Sus scrofa: one gene and its partners. The protein of the gene in region 3 interacts with the protein of the main gene of each other region in a biochemical or structural test. Links are inferred from orthologs where the notes say so. Each region holds a gene or a part of one and is shown on either strand. Other genes may lie near its edges.

Region 1 (4,016 bases), on a different chromosome or scaffold from region 3:
GGTGCTTTCGCCGGCCGGGGACGGGGGTGGGGTTGGGGTGGGGTGGGGGTGGGGATTGTGTCTTTGATTTGATGGGCATTTCCACTGCAACCCACCCGCAGGCGTGCCCTGCCTGGCGCCAGGCGACCCTAGAAGACCCCGCCCCACCGCATCCCCACCCCATCCCCAGCAGCAGTTTCCTGGCAGAGCGTTTCCGGAGGCCTTGGCCTGGGGTGTGTGTGGGGGTAGGGTCTACCTTTGAAACAGCTGGTAGACTGCAATTTAAACTTTAGAGCGAGCTCAAAACTCGATTCTGCAAACGAGCGCCGGCGCCAGAGAAAGATAAGAACTCTAGTCTATGGCTCCCCATCACCCCCTTGGTCTAGTTCTCGGGGCTTCCTGCCGTCCCCACAGCATTCTCTCCACCGCCCAGGAGGAAGGATGGGCGGGGCGGACGGGGGCGGGCAATGCCGCAGGCAGCGCAGATGGAGAGGGCGAGCCCGCGCCGCCGGCCCTGGCGTGGGCGGGGGGCGCAGGAGCAGGTGTCCGCATAGTGACAGGATTCCCTTCCCTCTCCTACCCTCCCTTGGTGCTATCCAGGGCTCTGCGAGTCAGAACCCTGCAAATGCTCCAAAAATGCAGCTCAGTCGGTCACCGGGCTCTGTTTTCTCGCCAGACGCGCAAGGGGACGGCGCTTCCAAATGCAAATCTCTTGGCTCGGGACCCTTGGCTTGCAGCCACTGCCTCCCCCGCCTGGCTACCCGGCGTCCCGCCTACCCCGCGGAGAGCCGAGATGGGGCCTCGTGCGGCGGGGACAGGGCGGAGCGGGCATCCTTCCCCACCTCCCACGTGGGGCCGGCCCTCCGCAGTCCCTGGGCGCGCCGCCGCTGCCGCGCCTCCGGGCTAGGCCCCCGTTCTCAGCGCCGCCCCCCACCCAGGCCAGGGAGGGGGAACTACAGGCGGGGGCGTGGATGAGGGGTGGGGGCGGTGTCACTGAGTCAGGTGGCGGCGGGAGTTCCCTCGGGCTGGGCCGAGGGAACACGCTGCCGGGGATTGTGTACACGCTCCACTGACACAAGCTTCACGCTGCCGGGCAGCCGCTGATCACGCGTGGCTCCGCTAGCCCATTGGCCGGCGCCTCACACACCTTTGTCGCTGATTGGCCGATAGCAGGCTCCGCCCCCACCCCCTCCCGCGGCGCGGGGCAGGCGGAGCAGCTACCTGAATGGGGAGGGGGCAGACGGCGCGGAGCGCGGCGGCGGCGGGAGTGGCGTCGAGTGTCTCTGGGCGCCCGTCTGTGGCCAGGCAGCCAACCAGCCTAGCAGCCAGTCAGCTCGCCGCGGGCGGCCAGGCAGCCAACCATGCTCAACTTCGGCGCTTCTCTCCAGCAAGCTGCGGTAAGTCACCTGGGGATGCCCCTGTCCTTCCTGGCCTATGCTGCGTCTGAGGGGCCCCCGGGGGGCGCGAAGCCTGAGCCCCGTGACATCAGCCACGCCGGAGGACGGGGGCTGCAGTGGAGTCGTAGGAGAGGAAGGGGCTTTCTGTGTGCAGACCGGTCTTTAGTGACGGCGTGCGTAGTGAAGAGGGTCAGGAGAAGCAGGCTGGGGTCTAGAGACGAAGGGAGAGGGGGTTCTTGCTCTAGGTGTAATGAGGGAAAGGGTCAGCTCTGCCGGGAGACCTGAAGCAGGTGAGGGGGAGGATGACTGGAGGGGTGGCAAGAGTGGGGTGGGGGCTGCTACCCTTTCAGCGAGGATAGGAGGTGTGGAAGGAGGAGGGGGGTGAGGGGGCCACCCTGCACCTGGTGCTGTAGAGAGCTGCCTCTGTCTAGATCAGGAATGCAACCCAGGGTGGGAGAGTAGTGCTTGCGAGGATTTGCGGGGCAAGGTGTCCGCAGGAGAGGAAAGGGGGCTCCCCATTTAGGCGGTCTGAACGGAGGCTTGCGGGACGGGGGCTGCTCAGCAGATAGCCGACCACTGGGGGAGGGGCGACTGGCAGGAGCGTGGGGGATGGCACGCGGCCCCGGGACCCCTGAGGGGGGCCGCGGAGTTGCCCCCCCCCCGACGTCTGGAGGGACTTCCCATTCCCGGGGCAGGCAGGTGGCCACACTCTGAGCACCTCTCGGAGGGGGCAGAGAGCCGCCTCGGCGATGTGAGGGTGGGAAGCGGGACCCAGCAGCAGGGCGGAGAAGGTGGGCGGGGGGAGCCGGGCCGCGAGACGCGGGGGCAGCGTGTTAAGGCGGGAGCCGCAGGCCGTGGGGCCGCGCGTCTGGAGCCGGGGCCTGTTGGGGCTGCACGTCTGGGAACTCGTGGAGATGCGCAACGGGCTGGGGCCGGAGCTGCAGGAAACCTCGGGGAGGGGGCGCCGCATCTTCGGGGAGAGTCAGGGTGGTCCGAAATCCCGCGGGCGGCGTGGGCGGGAAGCGCAGAGGGCTCGGCTAGGTCCCCGGGGGCTGCGGCCGGAGGAGGGCGGGGGCCGGGTTTCCGCGGGGACCCGGCTCCTCCCCCGGCAGCTGAGGCGGAGGCTGGGGGTGGGCCGGGAGCGGGTGCGCTCGGGGAGCTTCTCGTCCCCGAGTGACCCAGCTCCGGCCTCCGCCAGGGGCGGGAGCAAAGCCCGGCCCCGCTGTCGGTTCCTAAGGGAACGGCGGCTCGCTGGGAGTTGGAAGGGGCGGGCGCTCCCCGGCCCAGGGCCCCGCCCCTCCCCGCGGGCTGGGGCGCGCACTGCCGGGCGGTTGGCGGCGGCGCCCGCGGCCCCTCCCCCGGCCCGGCGCGAGGGCGGGGGCCCGCGGGCTCAGGAAGTAGGTGAAAGGTGACGGCGCGGCAATTCCCAGTTCACGTTTCCTGCGCCGCCCGGAGCAGCCGCTGATCACGCTTTGTTCACATGCCTCGCCCCCTCCTCCTCCTCCTCCGCGCCCCGCCCTCCGAGGCCCAGCCAATCCCAGCCCGGGCCGCCCGGCCAGCTGGCCAATGGCGGAGGCAGGGAAGCGGGGACGTGCGAGCGGCGAGGAATGTTCCCAGTGACTCACCCGCGAGCCTCATTGAGGTTAGGGCGGCCCCATCTGTCTGTCCCCGCCAGCGAGGATCTCCCCCGCCGTCCGCCCCCGCCCCTCGTCTGCCTCCCCCGCCCGCGCCTCCGCCCGCGCTTCCCTTTCCTGCCTAGCGCCCCACTCCCAGTCCTCCTCCCCTCCCGGCTTCTTTTCCGGCCCTTCCCACCTCGTACTCTGCTTCCCGGCTGCCTGCCTTTTCTCTTTTTTGCTTTGCTTTGGCGTCTTGAGGCTTTTACACAAACATGCGCTGTCCGCTGCAGCTTACATAAAGGGCGCGGGATTATGCAATTGCATAGTTAGCGATATTTCAAGAGAAATGGTCGTTTTCTTAGGGTTTCAACATGAAGGGTTTATGCATTTTTTTAAACAAGCGTTAAGAATAATACCTTGCAACATAAAGAATGCTCTTTTTTTTTTTTTTTTACACAACCTCTACTTTGACGAAAGAATGAGACCACAAAAAAAAAGAATAAGATGGAGGGTAGTACCTTTTTTTTTTGGTGCAGTTTAATATGAAGCATTAAATACCCGATAGAAGGAGCATTAACATCAAGCATTAAATACCCGATAGGAGTTGATAAATATAAAGCATGCGCTGTTATTTATCATCAATTTTGGCCTCTCCTCCCCGTTAGGAAAAAATATCTGAAAAGATCTCATGCCATAACCTGTATTTTTTTTAATGAGTTTTGCAGAGCCTTCCCTTATTTTGTCTGACTCCTGTTGCAGGTGGCTACTCTGGAAAGAATATAAAACCTTTTTTTTCTTATAAGCCAAATGGGTCTCTTTTAGATTTCAAATTAATTGGTACCTTTGGCCTTGGTCCCCTGAGAGGTAATAAGGATAAGGTCCTCCTCACCTTGCAAGGGTATCAGTCTTCAGGCCTAAGTGTCAGAGGAAGAATGAGGAAGATTTTATCACTATCAGAGGAGGGATGAGGAAAAGTTATTTCAGATTTTATCTTGAAAAGTTTGTGCAAATTGTAAAAAAGGAA
Region 2 (4,088 bases), on a different chromosome or scaffold from region 3:
CAGAGGAGTGAGGGCTAAACTTAAGGGAAAAAAAAAAAAAAAAGAGGAGGAGGAGGAGGCACCCCCTTCGTATTCTTCTTATCGTTATTTTATACATATATGATTTTTTTTGGAGGGAGGGTGTTGGTTCCCGGCTGAAGAGCACTTATTTAAAATACTAAAAAAAGAACATTTTTGGGCGATCTCCAGGGTTTTTTTAACTAGCTCTGTGTGTTATAGCAGAAGAAGCAGAAGAAGGAGCAAGAAAGAGGAAAAGAAGAGGATTATTTATTCGACCTACTTTGGATGTCTCTTTCGCTTTTTTTTTTTTTTTTTTTTTTTTGCAATTCTTTTTCTTCTGATTTTTATTTTTTCTATTTCGCTGTGAAATCGTCGCCGGCGTGAATTATCTCGTATTTTTTTCTCCCTCTGTCACCTCCCGAAAGAAGAAGGCAGCGAGAGCCCGGCGCCACCCGCACAACAAAAAGAGCAAAGTGTGTGATCCTCCTCGCTGGCTGCCTTCTGCTCTCCAGCGCTGCCTTCCTGAATGGCTGGCTGCGTCCGGCCCTGGACCTGGCCCCCCGACACCAGCGCGCCCTGATCGCCGCCGGCAGCCTCGCCCCGCGCCCTGCTCGGCTCACCGCGCTCCCCTCAATCCCGAGCCCAGCGAGGGCTCCCGCCGGGACAGCGGCGGCGGTGCGGGCGGCCCCGACCTGGGCTCGCGCTCCTCTGGCTGCAGCCCCGACTCCAGCTCGGACTCCGGCCCGGGCCCGGGCTCCTCCAGCGGCGCTCGGCGCTGCAGCTGAGGCGGCAGCTCCAGAGGCGCCGGCAGCCGCGACCTCCTCCTCCTCCGCCGCCGCCGCCGCCCTCGCCCGCTTCCTCTATGTCTGCTCCGCCGGCGCGCAGCGCGTAGCCCGAGCGGCCGGCAGGCGGGCGGGCGCCCGGCGCGGGTGAGCGAGTGTGTGTGCCAGTGTGTGTGTGCGCGGGGGTGCGGGCGAGGCGGAGGGTGAGTGTGTGCGCGCGCCGTGGCCCATGCCCGCCGCCCCCGGCGCTGCGCCCCGCGCCGCTCCCGGCTGCCGCCTGTGCCATTTCTGATTTTGCAACTTGGGGAAGAAGAAAAAAGCGAGAGAAGGGAGCTTGGTCGCTGGGGGGGGTGGGGAGGGGGGGAAGGAGAGCGTGGCCCCCCAGGATCAGAGCGCGGGGGGAGCGGGCGAGGGGAGCAGGGGTGTTGGGGGGGGAGCCTGAGAGCCTGGGGGGCTGCAAAAAGAGAGAAAGAAAACAGCAGGAACCACAACAAAACGCCAGCAGGGCGGGCGGGCGCGCAGCAGCAGCGGGGCGGCCGAGGCAGTAGCGGCGGCAGCGGCGGCGGCGGCAGAAGCAGCGGCCAGTGCCCGGCTCGGGCTCCGCTCCCGCGACCCCGGGGCGCCGGGCGGGCCCCCCGCCCCCTCCCCCTCCCCCCTTCCCCTTCCCCTTCCCCTCCCAGCGCGCCCGCGCGCCCCACGGCCCTCGGCGAGCAGCTCGGCTCCCCCCAGCGCTCCCCGGGCCCAAAGATATGGCAATGGTAGTTAGCAGCTGGCGAGATCCGCAGGACGACGTGGCCGGGGGCAACCCCGGCGGCCCCAACCCCGCAGCGCAGGCGGCCCGCGGCGGCGGCGGCGCCGGCGAGCAGCAGCAGCAGGCGGGCTCGGGCGCGCCGCACACGCCGCAGACCCCGGGCCAGCCCGGAGCGCCCGCCACCCCCGGCACGGCAGGGGACAAGGGCCAGGGCCCGCCTGGCTCGGGCCAGAGCCAGCAGCACATCGAGTGCGTGGTGTGCGGGGACAAGTCGAGCGGCAAGCACTACGGCCAATTCACCTGCGAGGGCTGCAAAAGTTTCTTCAAGAGGAGCGTCCGCAGGAACTTAACTTACACATGCCGTGCCAACAGGAACTGTCCCATCGACCAGCATCACCGCAACCAGTGCCAATACTGCCGCCTCAAGAAGTGCCTCAAAGTGGGCATGAGGCGGGAAGGTGAATATTTCTTCTGTGCTTCTCTCCCTGAGCTTCGCCCGCCTCCCCGGCCCTCTTTCTTTCTCTCTCTCCGGCGGGGGTGGCTGCTGTATGAGGCTGGGGCTCCTGCGGTCCCGGCCCGTCCCAGCTTCCCCTGTCCCCGCTGCCTTCCTCCCCCGGCGTCCCCCCCCCTTCTCCCCAGCTCGCTGCCGCTGCCTCCCCCTCCCGGCCTGCGCTCCACTCCCCGGCTCCTCCACCCCGCCCGCTGCCTGCTCAGGATTGAGTCCCTGGGATCGTGAGCTGTGGCTTAAAATCCCCTTCCTCTGTCTTGGATGTGCTCGGTGTGTGTCTCTTTCCCGCGTGTGCGTGAGGATGCTCGGGGCTGTGCTGGCATGTACTTGGGGAGGGGTGCTTTTTCCCCCAGAAAACTCTGTTTCTGTGTTTTTTCATTCCACTTTTCCCTCCACCTCTTCATGCCCTTTATTTAAAATGGGGGAGGGCTGGAGACTGGAGTACTCTGAACCATAGATTCATTACTGCATCATCCTTTTGGAAGCTTAGCTTGGGAAAAGAGGAGTGAGATTTATTGCACTTGTAGGTCTAATTAGGGGGGAAGGGGGGCTTCTGGCCTGTTCACTGGTTCCCTCTCCTCTTCACCGAGCTGGGGCCGCCTCCTCCAGAGCTGTGGCCTTGTTTTCACCCCTCTACTTTGAAAGGAAAGTTTGTGACTGAACCGTGCTTTCATAGTGTGTCATTTTTTTTTAAAGCATGATACTCGTTTTATTTCTTCATCAAACTCCACCCTCTGCTTAAATACTGCATACAAATTACAATTTACAGCGGCATTTACCGATCCTTCTGATTTGGCTATAATGCATAGACTGCAGCTGGCATGAGCTTCCACATCATTTAATCCCTGTGTTGTATGGATTTGGTTTCTTTTAACACAACTTTTGATGTTGTATTTAGATATGCTTCATGTTCATGTGGCAAGAGATGCAGCACTTTTCTTATAAATATATCTAGCCATTTACAGTTAAAGTTTATCTCCTGACAATCATTAAAGATGTCTTATAGTCAAATTAGCGAACCAGTCAATTTTGCAGAATGCAGATTACTCCTTCTTGTAATTGACTTTAAAATTATATTTTATATGCCACAAGAAAAGAAATTGAATTCCTTCAGACCTCAAGGAAAAGGCAAATATGATGACTTCATTTCTAGCTCCAGGGAGATTTTGTAGGCATCTGAAAAAAAAAAAAACTTTGAATTGTATTCTCATTTAATTGAAAAATAACTGCCAAGTTCAAAACTATAATTAGAAAAAAGTATTCTAGCCATTATGTCTCAAGAGCTTAAATTGCATTGGGACTTGCATTAAAATTAGAATCAAAGCAAACTTAAGAAAATAGTATACAACCTGAAGTGAGATAGCTACGTGTACATGGACATATCTATATTAATTTGTTTGGGGGAGAGTTCAGTAGCCCTAACTTTTCCTAAAGTTGTCTTTGTTTACATGGCAATTTAAAACGCTGGCACTGTTGAAGTAAAACATACACATTAAAAAAAAAAAAAACTTTGGTCAGCTTTAAGAACTCAAAGCATGCTTACGTTTTGCATTCAGATGGTTAATGAATCCAGTGTTTTGCAGTTGCAAGCTCGTGCATTCACTGGGCAAAAGCTGGCTGCAGGTTGCAGTGGCACCGCGCAGGACAGACATTAATTATATTTCCCACTTTTTTCAATAATGTTTGGCTACTGTAAGTTCAACTTTTTCTTGAAATTTTTCAATTTTCTGTTGCTTTTAACAGTGAGAACTTTGTGTGGGGCGATGGGGAGGAGGGGATAGGGGAGGGGTGCAGGATACTTGTTTTCTGTTCAAAAGTTGTAAATGCTTAGTAGGGTATGTAACTTGTATCTATTTCAAGGATAATTCCATAGCATTTTTAGATAATATGGCAACATTTTGAGCAAAACCTGCTTGCTTGTAAATGAAGAGGCAGCTAGACATTTGCCTAGAACCACAACCTTTCTTTGGTTTCGCCTGTTTTTGTTTTTGTTTTACCCTGATTTGGTACTTTTTGGAGGGGTGAGTGGGATTTCATTAATCTGTGT
Region 3 (4,102 bases):
CTGGATAAGAATTTGTTGTTGTTGCTGGGTCTGCTGGTTTTGCTCTCCCTCTTTTTGCTGACTTGCTTGCAGTGAGCCTCCAGATGTCTGGTTCTGCTGGATGTTCAGAGCATCAGACCCCTGTAGCCCACTGACCCTCTGTGGTGTCTGGCCTTGAGAGTTGGTCCCTGTTGATCCGCTGGTGGTAAAGTTCATAATTCCCATGTTGCTGGTGGTAGTAGTTGTTGAGTAGCTATTGGCATTGGTGAAAAAGGAGCTGGAACTGGCTTGTGATGATACCAAACTGGCAGAACTGATGGCAGTCCCGGAGGTGACAGGCTGTGAGCCACTCTCTTGGGACCCGGAGCTGCTAATCGTGACTGCCTGAGAACTAGGAGTCAAGGTAGCTGCAGAAACGCTGTTGACAGGTAGCAAGGTAATATTACCATTCAGGGCCACTGGTACATTGGTCACATACTGAGTCTGTCCTGAGAGTACATTATTAGCTAGGCCTTGGAGGGGGACAGCCTGCTGGAGTAGGTTTGGCATAGCAGCAATGATGTTGCCTCCACTTCCTCGATTTGTGATGATCTGTTGGTTTGCACCTGGTATGATCTGTATCTGACCTGAACCATCCTGCTGTACTTGGGCCCCAGTGGCAGCAAACTGCAGCTGTTGCCCATCAACCGTCTGGAACTGTGGGATTACTTGATACTGAATATTAGGCATCACTCCAGGCAGTCCTGTTAGGACTTGCTGGTTCTGCAGGTTGGATGTGGCAGCCACGACATACTGCCCACCAGAGACAGTGCGATTCTTGGAAGACTCACCACCATTGTTGCCATTGGTACTGCTGCCACTTTGTTCCTTCGAGGTAGGGGTAGCCCCAGAGGAGGAAGAGATGATCTGCCAGCCATTGGCACTCTGGGAGAGCTGTGTGGCTGTGAGGTCAAGCTCACCTGTGCTCCCGGACTGGCCTGGGCCCTGGGAGTTGTTACTGTTTTCATTGGGTGACTCAATTCTGCTGCAGGTTGCTGCCAGCAGAGCCAAAGGGGATGGCTGGGACTCCTGGCCAAAAATAAGGGAGAGGAAAGAGATTAGTTTAGTGACACCAGCTGCCAGCCCTGGGGGCAGTAGAAAAAAATAAACAGTAAAAAAAACCCAAAATAAATAAATAAACAGCAAAACAGTGCCCCCCCCAAGCAAACAAAAAGCCAACCTATCTACACTGCTGAAATTTGAAATTCTCATCTTTGGGGATCTCCAAGTCACTTGTCTCTGTACTTACTTCCCTATCTGTAAATTAGCCCTTTCCTAAAAATTTTTTTGTGAAAAGACAATCATCTAAGAATATCTACATCCTCTCAACACGATGCCCACTCTGTCCAGATGATCACCTACCTGCCCTCCTCCTCCTCCACCGCTGCTGCTACTGCCTGTGCTGCTGCTTCGAGCCTGAGAAAAGGCACCACCATTACCACTGCCCCCATTATTGCCACCAACTCCTTTTTCAATCTTCACCACAGCTGTCATTTCATCCATGGAGTGATCTTGGTCTAAAAAGAATTAAAAGATAACTTAAAGTTGGGGAAAGAAAAAAGATAAAATGAAGAAGGGTAAGGAAGACTAGGACCAAACAAAAATGACTAACAGGAAGGTGAAAGTCCCAGTATTTAAACAAACAAACAAAAAAGGATTGGGGAAGAAGAGACAGCTGTAGGGCTAGGAAGACCTGAACTGGGCCCCTTGGTGCCAAAACTGGGCCGCAGTTCTCCCTCGTACAAAATTAAACTCAGAAAACAATGAAAAGGTGCTTTTGGTATAGACAATGTAAGGGTCCGTGGACATGTTGAAGGAGTTTAAAAGTATCCTGCGGGGAAAAAAAGGAGAAATATAGATAAGGCATAAAACATGTGGGTGGATGGAAAGCTTGCTCAAATTAGGGTCAAAGGAGATGGAGAAAGGGAAGAATTCAAGTGTAGAAAGTCACAAGAGGAAAGGAAGGGGAAGGAGAAAAGATGAGATAAAAAGTTTTGTAGGGGGGAACATTTGTGAATACTAGAAAGGGGCTAAAGAGGTCCAGGGGTTAGAAATCAGGAGTTTCGGGGCGGACAGAGGGCGGGCCCTAGAAGGAAAGGGCGGTTTCGGGGTGAGGGGCGTGGAAAGGGCGGGACGGTAGGGGGAGGGGTAATCTACGGGGGGGAGGGGTAACCTTCGGGGGGTGGGGGGAGGAGGGCCTTGGGGCCGGCGGCGACCAGAGGGCGGACCAGGGAGGCGGTTGGCCCGGGCGGGGCCTGCACTGCTCGGGCCGCCCCCGCGGCTCCAGCCCCCGGCAGGAGGAGCCTCAGGCGGGCGGCCGAGTAGTGGGGGGTAAGGCCCGTCCCCCGTGGCTGGGGCGGGCAGGGGGCGGGCGAGGCCACGCTGCCCCCTCCCCCGGGGCGGGCGGCCCATCCCCCTCCTCCTCCGAGGCCCCGCCACTGCCCCTTCTCCCTCCCTTCCCTCCGCCCCGGGCGGGACCAAGGCCGCCGCCGCCGCCTCCCGCCCGCCCCCCTCACGGCGGGGACCGCCCGGTCGGCCCTCGCGCGCGCCCCCTCACTCCCCTCCCACCCCTAAGCTTGGAGTGGACTCATCCTTACCGCTCATGGTGGCAGCTGAGGGACGAGCTCAAGGGGGTCCTGTCCGGGGGGGTTGGGGGGGCCAGGAAAAACGCGGACGCTGACGAGGCAAGCGAACCCGGACCGGACAGGGAGGGGGGGGTAAAGAGGAGGGAGCAGCGCGCCACAAGCCCGGCCTAGGCCCCGCCCCTCCACTGCTGCCCCGCCCAATAAGGGAGGGTGAAAGGAGGGACTTGCAAAAGAAAGACAGGCAAATTACCCAATGGCGAGACTCGTTTGCTCTCTAAGGCGTGTAAGACAAAGTTGCGTGCGTGGTGTCCGCCCAAAAAGGGCGCCCTCTCAGTTTTAAAAGCCAATGAAAGGTGCAGGAAGTGAAGATAGGCGGGATTTAGAGATGATAGGCTTGGAGAGAAACCAGTCAACTGCCAGGCGGGCTCGCTGAGACGTAGGGATAGGAAGGGTTTTCATTGGAATGACAGAACAGCGACCAACCAAAACCCTGGGCAAGCCTGGGCAAAGTCCTGGTGGGAGGTGGTAAAAAGTAGACAGGAATGGGATAGGATGAAGCTTATCAAAACCAATCAGAAATCAGGCGGGCGGCCAGGAAAATTATGATTGGATTAACACTGAAAAGAGACGCGCTAGGACACAAATTGACGTGAATAAAAGCCAATTGAATGCTGCTTAAACTGTGAGGGCGGGAACCTGGAGTAGGCAGGGGAGAATTGGCGGCTGCTTCAGTCACTCAGCCCAATGAGGCAGCGAGGGAAGCCAGGCACCGCCTCCGGCTTGGCCAATGGGCGTTACTAGAGGCGCCAGTTGTCGGGGAGGTAACAGGGCTGTGCCAAGAGGAGTCCGTCGCCATTTTGGCCCTCCTCTGGGGACGTCTTTACCGTGATTAGGTGGCAAGGCTTCAGCAGAGCCCTGCAATTCAACAAGTGTCAGGGCCGAGCCCCGCGGCGCGTCGCATTTCTTCCTCGACATCAGGGCTTGTTTGAGTCTTCACTTAACCGCTTTTAAAAGTACCTCTCAGGTCTCCCCCCTCCGCGGTGGGCGGACTGGCAGGCGGATGCCTCAGAATATGGTGTAACCCCTGTGGGTGCTGGCGCAAGGAGATCTGGCGAGGGCGCTCATACAGTAGGTTAATAACGCACTGACCAATTTGCAAGGTCTTTGTGAGACTCCAGCAAACGCCATTTTACTAAATTCCCCCAAAGTTGATAGCTACTTAAGGCCGGTTAACTCTTCGAGAGCTTGCTTTTGAGGCTAAAGAGTGTTGGAGGACTTCCTGGAGTTCGAGGTCCTGTAAGCTGCTACCCCACCCCCGCCCCTGCCTCTACCCCGTAATTGTAAATAACGTTTAAACATAAAGCAAGTAGCCAGATAGAGTGCCTGCTTTTTGCAACTGCAAAGGTTAGAGGTGATTTTTCCCGAAACACCTGAATTTCTGGCTACTCATTCTGCCTCTCCTTTACCCTAGTTTTGGTGGAGGCAGCCTGCGTGGCCTG
Region 4 (3,997 bases), on a different chromosome or scaffold from region 3:
GATGGAGGAGGCCAAATGACAGAGAACTTTATGTTTCCATTTTTGGGCCCCACCCTAAAATATAAATTTTACTTAATCGCAAGCGAACCACCAGTGACAGCCCACACTCAAGGGAGGGGGCTCTTTCTTCAAGGCAGTGAGCAGCAGGAGGGGGTCACTGGGCCATCTGAGAAGTCTGCCAATCACAGTACCTGACAGCCTGGAGTTCAGCCACTGTGGCCTGTGCTGCATGAAGGCTGGCATGCAGCCTCGCCAGTGAACAAGGGCCTTTATTAACACCAGGGAACAGGGACCTCAAGGCTGGCAGCACGTTTCTCTGAGATCCTTCCCTTGAAGGGAGGCCCCCATTGCTGTCCCCTTGGGGACAACGCTTCCTGTGGGGATGCTGGGTTTCTGTTCACCTGACTGCTTTGGGACAACAGGCTCTGAAATCAGGTGAAGACTTCTGGAGGCTTCCTACTGCTTGCCCCAGAGGGCTTTCCTGAGGCCGTGTGCTCCGTGCTGCCCCTGGCTTGCCCACTGTCTCCCCTCCAGGTGATGAGGCTCTGGAGCCCTAGACCGGACCTTTGCACACCGGTCGGCCTCCGCCCTGGGAGTGGACAGCCGTGGGCTGGGCAGTCTCCTGTGGGGGCATCTCCGGGGTCAAAGCGGCTTCTCGCTGCACCAGCCACAGCCTCTCTGGGGAGCAGGGCCTTGACCAGGCAGGTTTTTTTTACCCCGAAGCCTTCAGCTCCCCCTTGGGCTACTGACTCTCCTTCCAGGGCCCAGCTCCTCTCCGAGGGGTCACACCTGGCCTCCCGCCCGGAGGGTCTTCTAGCTCCACTTCCCCCTTCCTCCTCTGCAGGGCTGTCCCAAGGACCTTCCCTCCTCCACGGCCGCTGGATGGGCAAGCGGCCCCGCGGGGGTCCCCGCTCCACACCCAGGGCTGACCCTCCCGGCCATCCCCCAGAATCCTTCCCGCGGGCGGGGCTCCCTCCCGGGGGCGGGGCTCCTTCCCGGACGTGCCGTGACGCTCACGCCCTCCCCGTCGCGCCCCGCCCCCTCTCCCAGGGGCTCTAGGAAGCCAGGCGGTGGGCACGGGGGGCGGGCCGGAGCCTCGTCCGGTCATTGGCGGAGGCCGCCGTCTTTGGTTGTCAATCCCGCCGGTCCGGCCCCGCCCCGCCGGCGGAGCGTCGGGGGACGCAGGGCCGCGGGGGCTGCCGGGACGGACCCAAGATGGCCGGGCGCCTCGGTTCCGCTCCCGCCTGCGGCCCCGAGTCCCATTCATTGCCGCGCTGCTGAGCGGAGCCCCGAGGCGGCCCGAGGGCTTCGGGGGCTGTCCCCGCGGGGCGAGAGGCCGCCATGGCGACCCTGGAAAAGCTGATGAAAGCTTTCGAGTCTCTCAAGTCCTTCCAGCAGCAGCAGCAGCAGCAGCAGCAGCAGCAGCAGCAGCAGCAGCAACAGCAGCCGCCGCCACCGCCGCCTCAGCCTCCTCAGCCGCCACCGCAGACGCAGCCGCCGCCTCAGCCGCCGCCGCCCCCGCCCCCGCCGCCGCCGCCGCCCGGCCCGGCAGTGGCCGAGGAGCCGCTGCACCGACCGTGAGTGCGGGCCCCCTGCAGACCCCGGCCCGCGGCGACGGGGCGACCCCGAGCCCCTCCCCGGCCCTGCGTGGGTCTCGGCCCCCCGCAGGGCGCGGAGCCTCGCCGGCCCCCCCCGGAGGCACCGGGGCGTCCCGGCCGCGAGGTTAGGGACGGAGCCGGGGCCGTGTTGGGAGCAGCGCTTGGCGGAGCGAGGCCGGCTCCGGTCCCTGCCCCGCCGGCCGCGAGGAGCGGGACCCGAGCCGGAGCGCCGCGGGGGAGCGGTGACGTCATGCCTCGGGGCGGGGGCGGCGGCGCGCGCGGCCCAATGGCGAGTCCTTTCCGAGGCCCTGGAGCAGCCTGTTCCCGCTGCCGCCGGGCATCCCCCCGAGTGCGGGGTCGCGGGCGGAGCCGCAGCGCGTTCGGCGTCGGCCAGAGCCGAGCTTGTCTGCGCTCCCGTTGGTCTGCAGGCTCTTGAGCGGGTTGTGGTGGCCAAGTTCGTGGTGCGCTGTTTAGGTGGTGATGAGTCACGAGGGAGAAACTAAAATTTGCCTGGAGTATTGGGTCGAGTTGACTGTGTGCAGTGCCTGTGTGCAGTGGGAACGAGAAGGACGTGTTGCTGAGGGAGAGGTTCACTGCCGGGGGCGAATGCGGTGCGGGAACGTGGCTGTCCGGGGACCCCGCAGGCGTCGCCTGTCGCTGACATCCGGTGCTGTTGGGAAGTAGGGGTCTCTTGCTTGTGCCAGGGAGAATTTTTGAGACAGAAAAAGAACATTTCAGGAGCTCCCGTCGTGGCGCAGTGGTTAACGAACCCGACTAGGAACCATGAGGTTGCGGGTTCGGTGCCTGCCCTTGCTCAGTGGGTTAACGATCCAGCGTTGCCGTGAGCTGTGGTGTAGGTTGCAGACGCGGTTCGGATCCCGCGTTGCTGTGGCTCTGGTGTAGGCCGGTGGCTACAGCTCCGATTGAACCCCTAGCCTGGGAACCTCCATATGCTGCGGGAGCGGCCAGAGAAATAGCAAAAAAAACCCCAAAACGAACATTTCATTTCATAGAGCACCTTCTGAGAGCACCCAAGCCCTTCCCCTGGAGTCCCGTGTGCCCAGTGGTTCAGCCGAGGCCGGGGCGTGCTCCGCGGCAGGCCAGCCTTTCACCTCGGGCCACTTCGTGTCTGAGCCGAAGGTGGACGGAAGGCATTTCATGAGGACGGCTTTCAAGAAGCAGCCCCTTTAAGGCGCTCACTCTGTTAAGGCTGATGCACTCTTAGCAATGTTTTCTTCTTTTCTTCTTTATGTTTCTGATAGGATCCTTGCTGTGTCAGAGATTTCGTTAGAAAATGAGAGTCGAGGAGTGATTTTGGCTTATCTGTTAGAATAAAATTTAGAAATAATTTTTTTCTTCTAGAAAAGGTCTTTTGAATACTCAGAGGGGAAAAAAATATTTTTTAACAGTTTGCTTTACCTCTGCAGCAAGTAATTTATAACCATAACCCATCGCAGACTTTCATGGTAGTGCATCTCCTGCAGGTGGATGTCATGAAGTTAACACGTGGTTGGGACCTTGTATAAACAGGGGAAGCACTAGTGGGGCTCTGTGTAGGGAGGAGGTTCTACTGCTGTCCCTGTCTGCTCGTGCAATCACTTGGTCAGCCTAAAAATATGCCTTCTGCTTCTTATGCTGATTTGACAGAACCTGAATTTGCTTATCTTCTTCAAAATACGGGTGTAAAGAGGTTTCCTTTTTTAAATTTTTAAAATAAAAAATTGTTTTAAAATTTATAATTATTATTATTTGTCTTTTTGTCTTTTCTAGGGCCGCTCCTGCAGCATATGGAGGTTCTCAGGCTAGGGGTCTAATCAGAGCTGTTGCCGCCGACCTACAACCACAGCCACAGCAACACCAGATCCTTAACCCACTGAATGAGGCCAGGGATCGAACCCGAAACCTCATGGTTCCTCATTGAATTCATTAACCACTGAGCCACGACAGGAATGCCTAAATTTTAAAAATTTTTTATTTATTTTGCTTTTTGGGGCTGCACCTGCAGCACATGGAAGTTCCCACGCTAGGGGTCCAATCAGAGCTACAGCTGGGAGCCTAAACCACAGCAATGCAGGATCCGAGCCACCTCTGGGAACTATACCACAGCTCATGGCAACTCTAGATCCTTAACCCACTGAGCAAGGCCCGCAACCTTATGGTTCCTAGTCGGATTCATTTCCGATGCGCCACCACAGCAACTTTCTGCTGCTGCGCCACGATGGGAACTTCCTTCTTAAGCTAGCTTGATGAAGTAGATTTTGTTTCACTGTTTTATTGTAAGGAAATGTATGATTGACTTATTTTAAACGGAACCTGATTTTTTTTTGCATGAATAACACAGTCACTTGATACAAATTCCAAAATTGCAAAAAGTAAGTAAAGTAGCTCCCATTCTTTTC
Region 5 (4,237 bases), on a different chromosome or scaffold from region 3:
CCTCCCAAGAGAAAGATATATATATTTATTCGGTAAAATTAGTACACTAAACTACCAGAAAGCAGTCTTCTTCTCTAGAGCTTTTCTCCAGGGGCAGTTTTCATTTAAAATGTGAATTTGAAATTTTAGAAATAGGTTTTAAAGGTTATTAGGTTCAGGCCAAGATTTCCCAACCCCCTATCTCCACCATGAATCCCAAATGCTCTGCCTCTGATACCCAGGAGCACAAAGTTTCCAAGGCTGAGGGTTTGTGCCATATATAGGGCCGGATGACAGATGCTGCTCCTTGCATAATAAGGTATTAAAAACATAAATGCCTGTGGTATACTAGCTCCTTTCCTTAGCCTAACTTGAGTCATCTAACATATAACTGTAGAGGTCATGGTAATGATTTTTTTGTCCTACATTCCATTAGGGTCAGTGCAAAGACTCTTATCCCTTATTCTATTTTGCTCTTTTATCTCCCTAAGGACTTAAGAATGGTGTTCAGGTGCAGAACTCCCTCTTTAGGATATGGTGGAAGGCAATGAAAGAGTTTTGGGACACTGGATTATTTAAAGTATGATTTAGATCTCTTTCTTCCCTCATAGAAATGTGAACTCTTTTTTTATTTATAATTTATAATATAAATTTATAATTCTCATGTAAGAATATTTTAAAAATGTTTTAAACGTGGATCCAACACCACAGCCAGGGCGACGCTGGATTCTCCATGCACTGAGTGAGGCCAGGGATCTTCCTGGGTACTAGTCGGATTTATTACCCCTGTGCCACAACGGAAACTCCCTGTTTTTAGTTTTTAAATAACATTTTAAATAGACAAAATAATTTAAATTTAAAAAGTGAGGTTAAAAACATAACATAGTCAACATGTGTGTAATGTAAAAATAGTAAAGTCCAATGTGTATATGTGTGTGTGTGTGTGATATAAAGTTTTTCTTTACATTGATCAGGACATCTTTGAGTTTTCTATTATTTCCTTGAGGTAACTGAAATGTCCTTTGGCCCAGCCTGAGAGTTATTAATTTAGAAAAACACAAATGTGAGCTAGCTTTAAGAATTTTAAGTGAAAGTAATGGGATCTAGATTAAGTGTGTTATCACTTTTCTGATGAGGTATTTGAGTACAATAAATTTTAAATGTGCCAGTATTGTGAGGGGAAAAAAGCCAACCCCTGGCGAACAGTAGATTTCTGATGACTTGAAACAGTAGGACGACGCTTTCTTGGAATGGAAGACAGCGCTTGCGCTCACACTCAGTTGGCGCCCGCCCTCCTGCTTTTTCTCCAGCCGCCGTTTCCTCCTTCTTTCGCGCTCTAGCCACCCAGGAGGTCCAGCCCAAGAGCAGCTGGGCTCTGATTGGATCCTTTGAAAGTCTACGGGCTACCTGATTGGTGGATCCAGGACCCTTTAGCGCGGTGAGTTTGAAACTGCTCGCACTTAGCTTTTCAAAGCTGGCTCTGGGAGCTTAAGGAGAGCGACGCTGACGTGGTAGCCCTGCCGCCGCTTTCGTCGCAGGATAATAAGCTGGGTAGAGTCGCTGGGGTCAGGGTCATGCTTATGGGGCGTTCAGTTGGCAGGGGAGGTTCGCGGGCCTCGGAGGGGGAGTGTTAAGGAACCGGGTGAGAATTAGGAGGCTGGGCCCTGGGCAGCAAGGGTCTGCGTGTGGCCAGCCGGGACCTTTATCTGGGGCCTGGGCGTGTGAGTGACGCCGAGGTCCGTCATGAGAGCGAGGCTTGGGGGAGCCCAGCCCTGGCAGGATTACTCCGGCCGGGCTGGGGTTGCTCTGGCCTCGGAATTTAGCCTGGGGTCGCGGGCGGCTGAGGAGGCTTTGAGGTCATGGTTGAAGCCGAATCCGCGCATTCGACGTTGCCAAGTGCTTGCCGAGTGCCAGGCTCGGCCTTCGGTCCTGCAGTTCCCCCCGTCCCTGGTGCGCCTTGCCCTCGCCTCTGGGCGTGGAAAGCAAGGCCGCACCTGGGCCAGGTACCCGAACCTCTTCCTGATCCCAGGACGCCCCTGGAAACCGATTGGATGAACTAACTTGTGGGTCTTCTCAGGCTTGCGTCTGTGCCTGTGACCCTAGCCCACCTAGAGCTTTAAGGAAGACTTAGCCAAGGCATACAGCCCGAGAGAACTTGGATTTGTTTTAATTTGTTTTTATGCTTGGTGGTTGTTATATACCATGGAGTTGGTAAAGAGTAGATATCTAAGAAAAGCCTACAGCTAGAAACGTGTGTTTTTAAATCCTATAGTCAATTTTTACCTAATAACTTGTACGTCTTGCTTCCTCTAAAGACCTGGAGGTCTCTGTAGATGAAGTCTTGGTATTTCAAGGCCGGCTATACTCAAATTCCGAAGCTGCTATCTTTATTTCAAATAGTTACAACCGGAGAATGGAGGGAGAGTAATTGAACCCAGCGTTGAGATGGAGTTAGTTTTTAGTTATTTGTTTAACCTGAGCTTAACAATTTTATTGTGCTTTAGGCATATTAAATCTGGATATTGAGGAAAAGATAATTATCTTCATCGTCCACTGCCATTTGTAAAATTAAACCTTTCTAGGATGGCAAGTGTAGTGCAATTTTAATTCATTTAGAAAGATCTATTTCTGCTTATTTCTGGAATGATTTTGAAGATGAATGTGAGAAATAGAATCTACGGGTCAAATTACTCAGAGTGACCTTTGTATATAAGCTTATCAGTGATTGTATTATAAAATTAGATTTTGAGCTTCTGAAGTAAATGGTTGACAGGCAAACTAACCAGCCAAGACTTAACAGGAAGTCTTGTATCTGATTATCATTTCAGCTTTTTTTTTTTTTAAGCCTTTATTGTTCTTGTCTGTTGTGTGGGGTATAGATTTTTTTTCCCCCCTGTGGAATTGTACCTTTTCTTTTAGAGTGCTTAGTGATATTTCCTGCCTTACCCTCCAAATTTTTATCCTGTGTGACTGCTGAGAACAGGAGAATGATTAAAACTGTCACTTGAGCGAGCTGAAACACTTTTGCTATTTTAAACACTAATGAAAAAAAAAAAAGAGCCGCGTTGTCTGCCTGCTTGTATCTTTCACAAGCATCCTATCTTAATAAATCTATTTCTTGCATTAAAAAACCCCCCAAAAAACCCATAATGAGCGAGCAGTGTCACATTTTAACTCCCTGCTCATGCCTTTAAAAATTGTTTAAAAATTATCTTCATAAAAATATCATAAATCTATACAAATTCAGTCAAATAACATTCTTTGTTAAAGTATTTGGGTACAACTCTGACACATATTGTTGGTGCTCCTTTTTTTTTTTTTTTTTTTTTTGTCTTTTGAGGGCCACACCCGCAGCCAGGAAGTTCCCAGGCAAGGGGTCCAATCAGAGCTGCAGCTGCCGACCTGCGCCACAGCAACGCCAGATGCCATCCGCTTCTGCGACCTACAGCTCTCAGCAAAGCCAGATCCTTAACCCACTGAGAGAAGCCCGGGATCGAACCCGCAACCTCATGGTTCCTAGTTGGATTCATTCTGCTGTGCCACTGGGGGAACTCCTGGTGCCCTTTAAAAGTGTTACATGAAGAGAACATCTGTCTAAATTTGAGGGTTTGGAAGGCACTAAATGTTACACTAGTATAGGATATACAATTATTTCCAGTGTTTTCATGAGCTAAGGTGGGAGAGTTTTTAGTTCTTTCCCATGTAAATATTGTTTTAATATAAGATTTATGGAAAATTAATACTGCACTAGGCACTGTGGAAATACTTCCCTTTAGTATCTCATTAATAACTTAAAATTGCCCTTTGAGTTTGTGGCATGTAATCAAGTCCATTTTTCCTCTCATTTTAGGATCTACCACATCCACTGAGTAACTATGGAAGACTATACCAAGATAGAGAAAATTGGAGAAGGTGAGTAGTTTTAATAATATACAAGGTTTTTTTTTTTTTAATGATTTAATGATGCTGCAGCATCCTTGACATGAAGACGTGAACATTCATTAAAGAATGAATGTTCTATAGGTACCTTACAGTACATTAGTACATTAATACATATGTTCTTTACATGATAATTGAAACATAAAAATGTTCCCAGTTCAGGAGAATTGAAATTATTTTCGCATGTGTCCCCAACAGCCCCCTCCAATAATCTTACATTCTTCTAAGACAAATGCTTAAAGCAATATTTGTATTTTGAATCCTATTGATATCTTGTAGGTGTGGTTGGGAGAGTGTTCATGCAGTGGAATTAGGTACT

What was found. The genes of interacting proteins can lie anywhere in the genome.
Region 1: the proteins of SP1 (region 3) and KLF10 form a complex in vitro, tested with the Homo sapiens proteins (2 studies listed by BioGRID). The link is inferred for Sus scrofa from reciprocal best matches to the Homo sapiens genes SP1 and KLF10.
Region 2: the proteins of SP1 (region 3) and NR2F1 form a complex in vitro, tested with the Homo sapiens proteins (2 studies listed by BioGRID). The link is inferred for Sus scrofa from reciprocal best matches to the Homo sapiens genes SP1 and NR2F1.
Region 4: the proteins of SP1 (region 3) and HTT form a complex in vitro, tested with the Homo sapiens proteins (2 studies listed by BioGRID). The link is inferred for Sus scrofa from reciprocal best matches to the Homo sapiens genes SP1 and HTT.
Region 5: of the proteins of SP1 (region 3) and CDK1, one has a biochemical effect on the other in vitro, tested with the Homo sapiens proteins (2 studies listed by BioGRID). The link is inferred for Sus scrofa from reciprocal best matches to the Homo sapiens genes SP1 and CDK1.

The regions. Positions count from the first base shown.
Region 1 is NC_010446.5:34,428,916-34,432,931, forward strand, and holds the start of KLF10 (Krueppel-like factor 10), read left to right. Parts: upstream 1-1,216; 5' UTR 1,217-1,340; coding exon 1,341-1,376; intron 1,377-4,016.
Region 2 is NC_010444.4:100,446,373-100,450,460, forward strand, and holds the start of NR2F1 (COUP transcription factor 1), read left to right. Parts: upstream 1-1,288; 5' UTR 1,289-1,531; coding exon 1,532-1,991; intron 1,992-2,175; exon of another isoform or gene 2,176-3,720; coding exon of another isoform or gene 3,721-3,733; intron 3,734-4,088. UniProt on the Homo sapiens protein: Coup (chicken ovalbumin upstream promoter) transcription factor binds to the ovalbumin promoter and, in conjunction with another protein (S300-II) stimulates initiation of transcription. Binds to both direct repeats and palindromes of the 5'-AGGTCA-3' motif.
Region 3 is NC_010447.5:18,587,461-18,591,562, reverse strand, and holds the start of SP1 (transcription factor Sp1), read right to left. Parts: upstream 2,801-4,102; 5' UTR 2,623-2,800; coding exon 2,616-2,622; intron 2,114-2,615; exon of another isoform or gene 1,712-2,113; intron 1,536-1,711; coding exon 1,381-1,535; intron 1,048-1,380; coding exon 1-1,047. UniProt on the Homo sapiens protein: Transcription factor that can activate or repress transcription in response to physiological and pathological stimuli.
Region 4 is NC_010450.4:1,808,571-1,812,567, forward strand, and holds the start of HTT (huntingtin), read left to right. Parts: upstream 1-1,197; 5' UTR 1,198-1,341; coding exon 1,342-1,577; intron 1,578-3,997.
Region 5 is NC_010456.5:64,232,552-64,236,788, forward strand, and holds the start of CDK1 (cyclin-dependent kinase 1), read left to right. Parts: upstream 1-1,437; 5' UTR 1,438-1,530; exon of another isoform or gene 1,531-1,544; intron 1,545-1,679; exon of another isoform or gene 1,680-1,724; intron 1,725-3,829; 5' UTR 3,830-3,854; coding exon 3,855-3,891; intron 3,892-4,237. UniProt on the Homo sapiens protein: Plays a key role in the control of the eukaryotic cell cycle by modulating the centrosome cycle as well as mitotic onset; promotes G2-M transition via association with multiple interphase cyclins.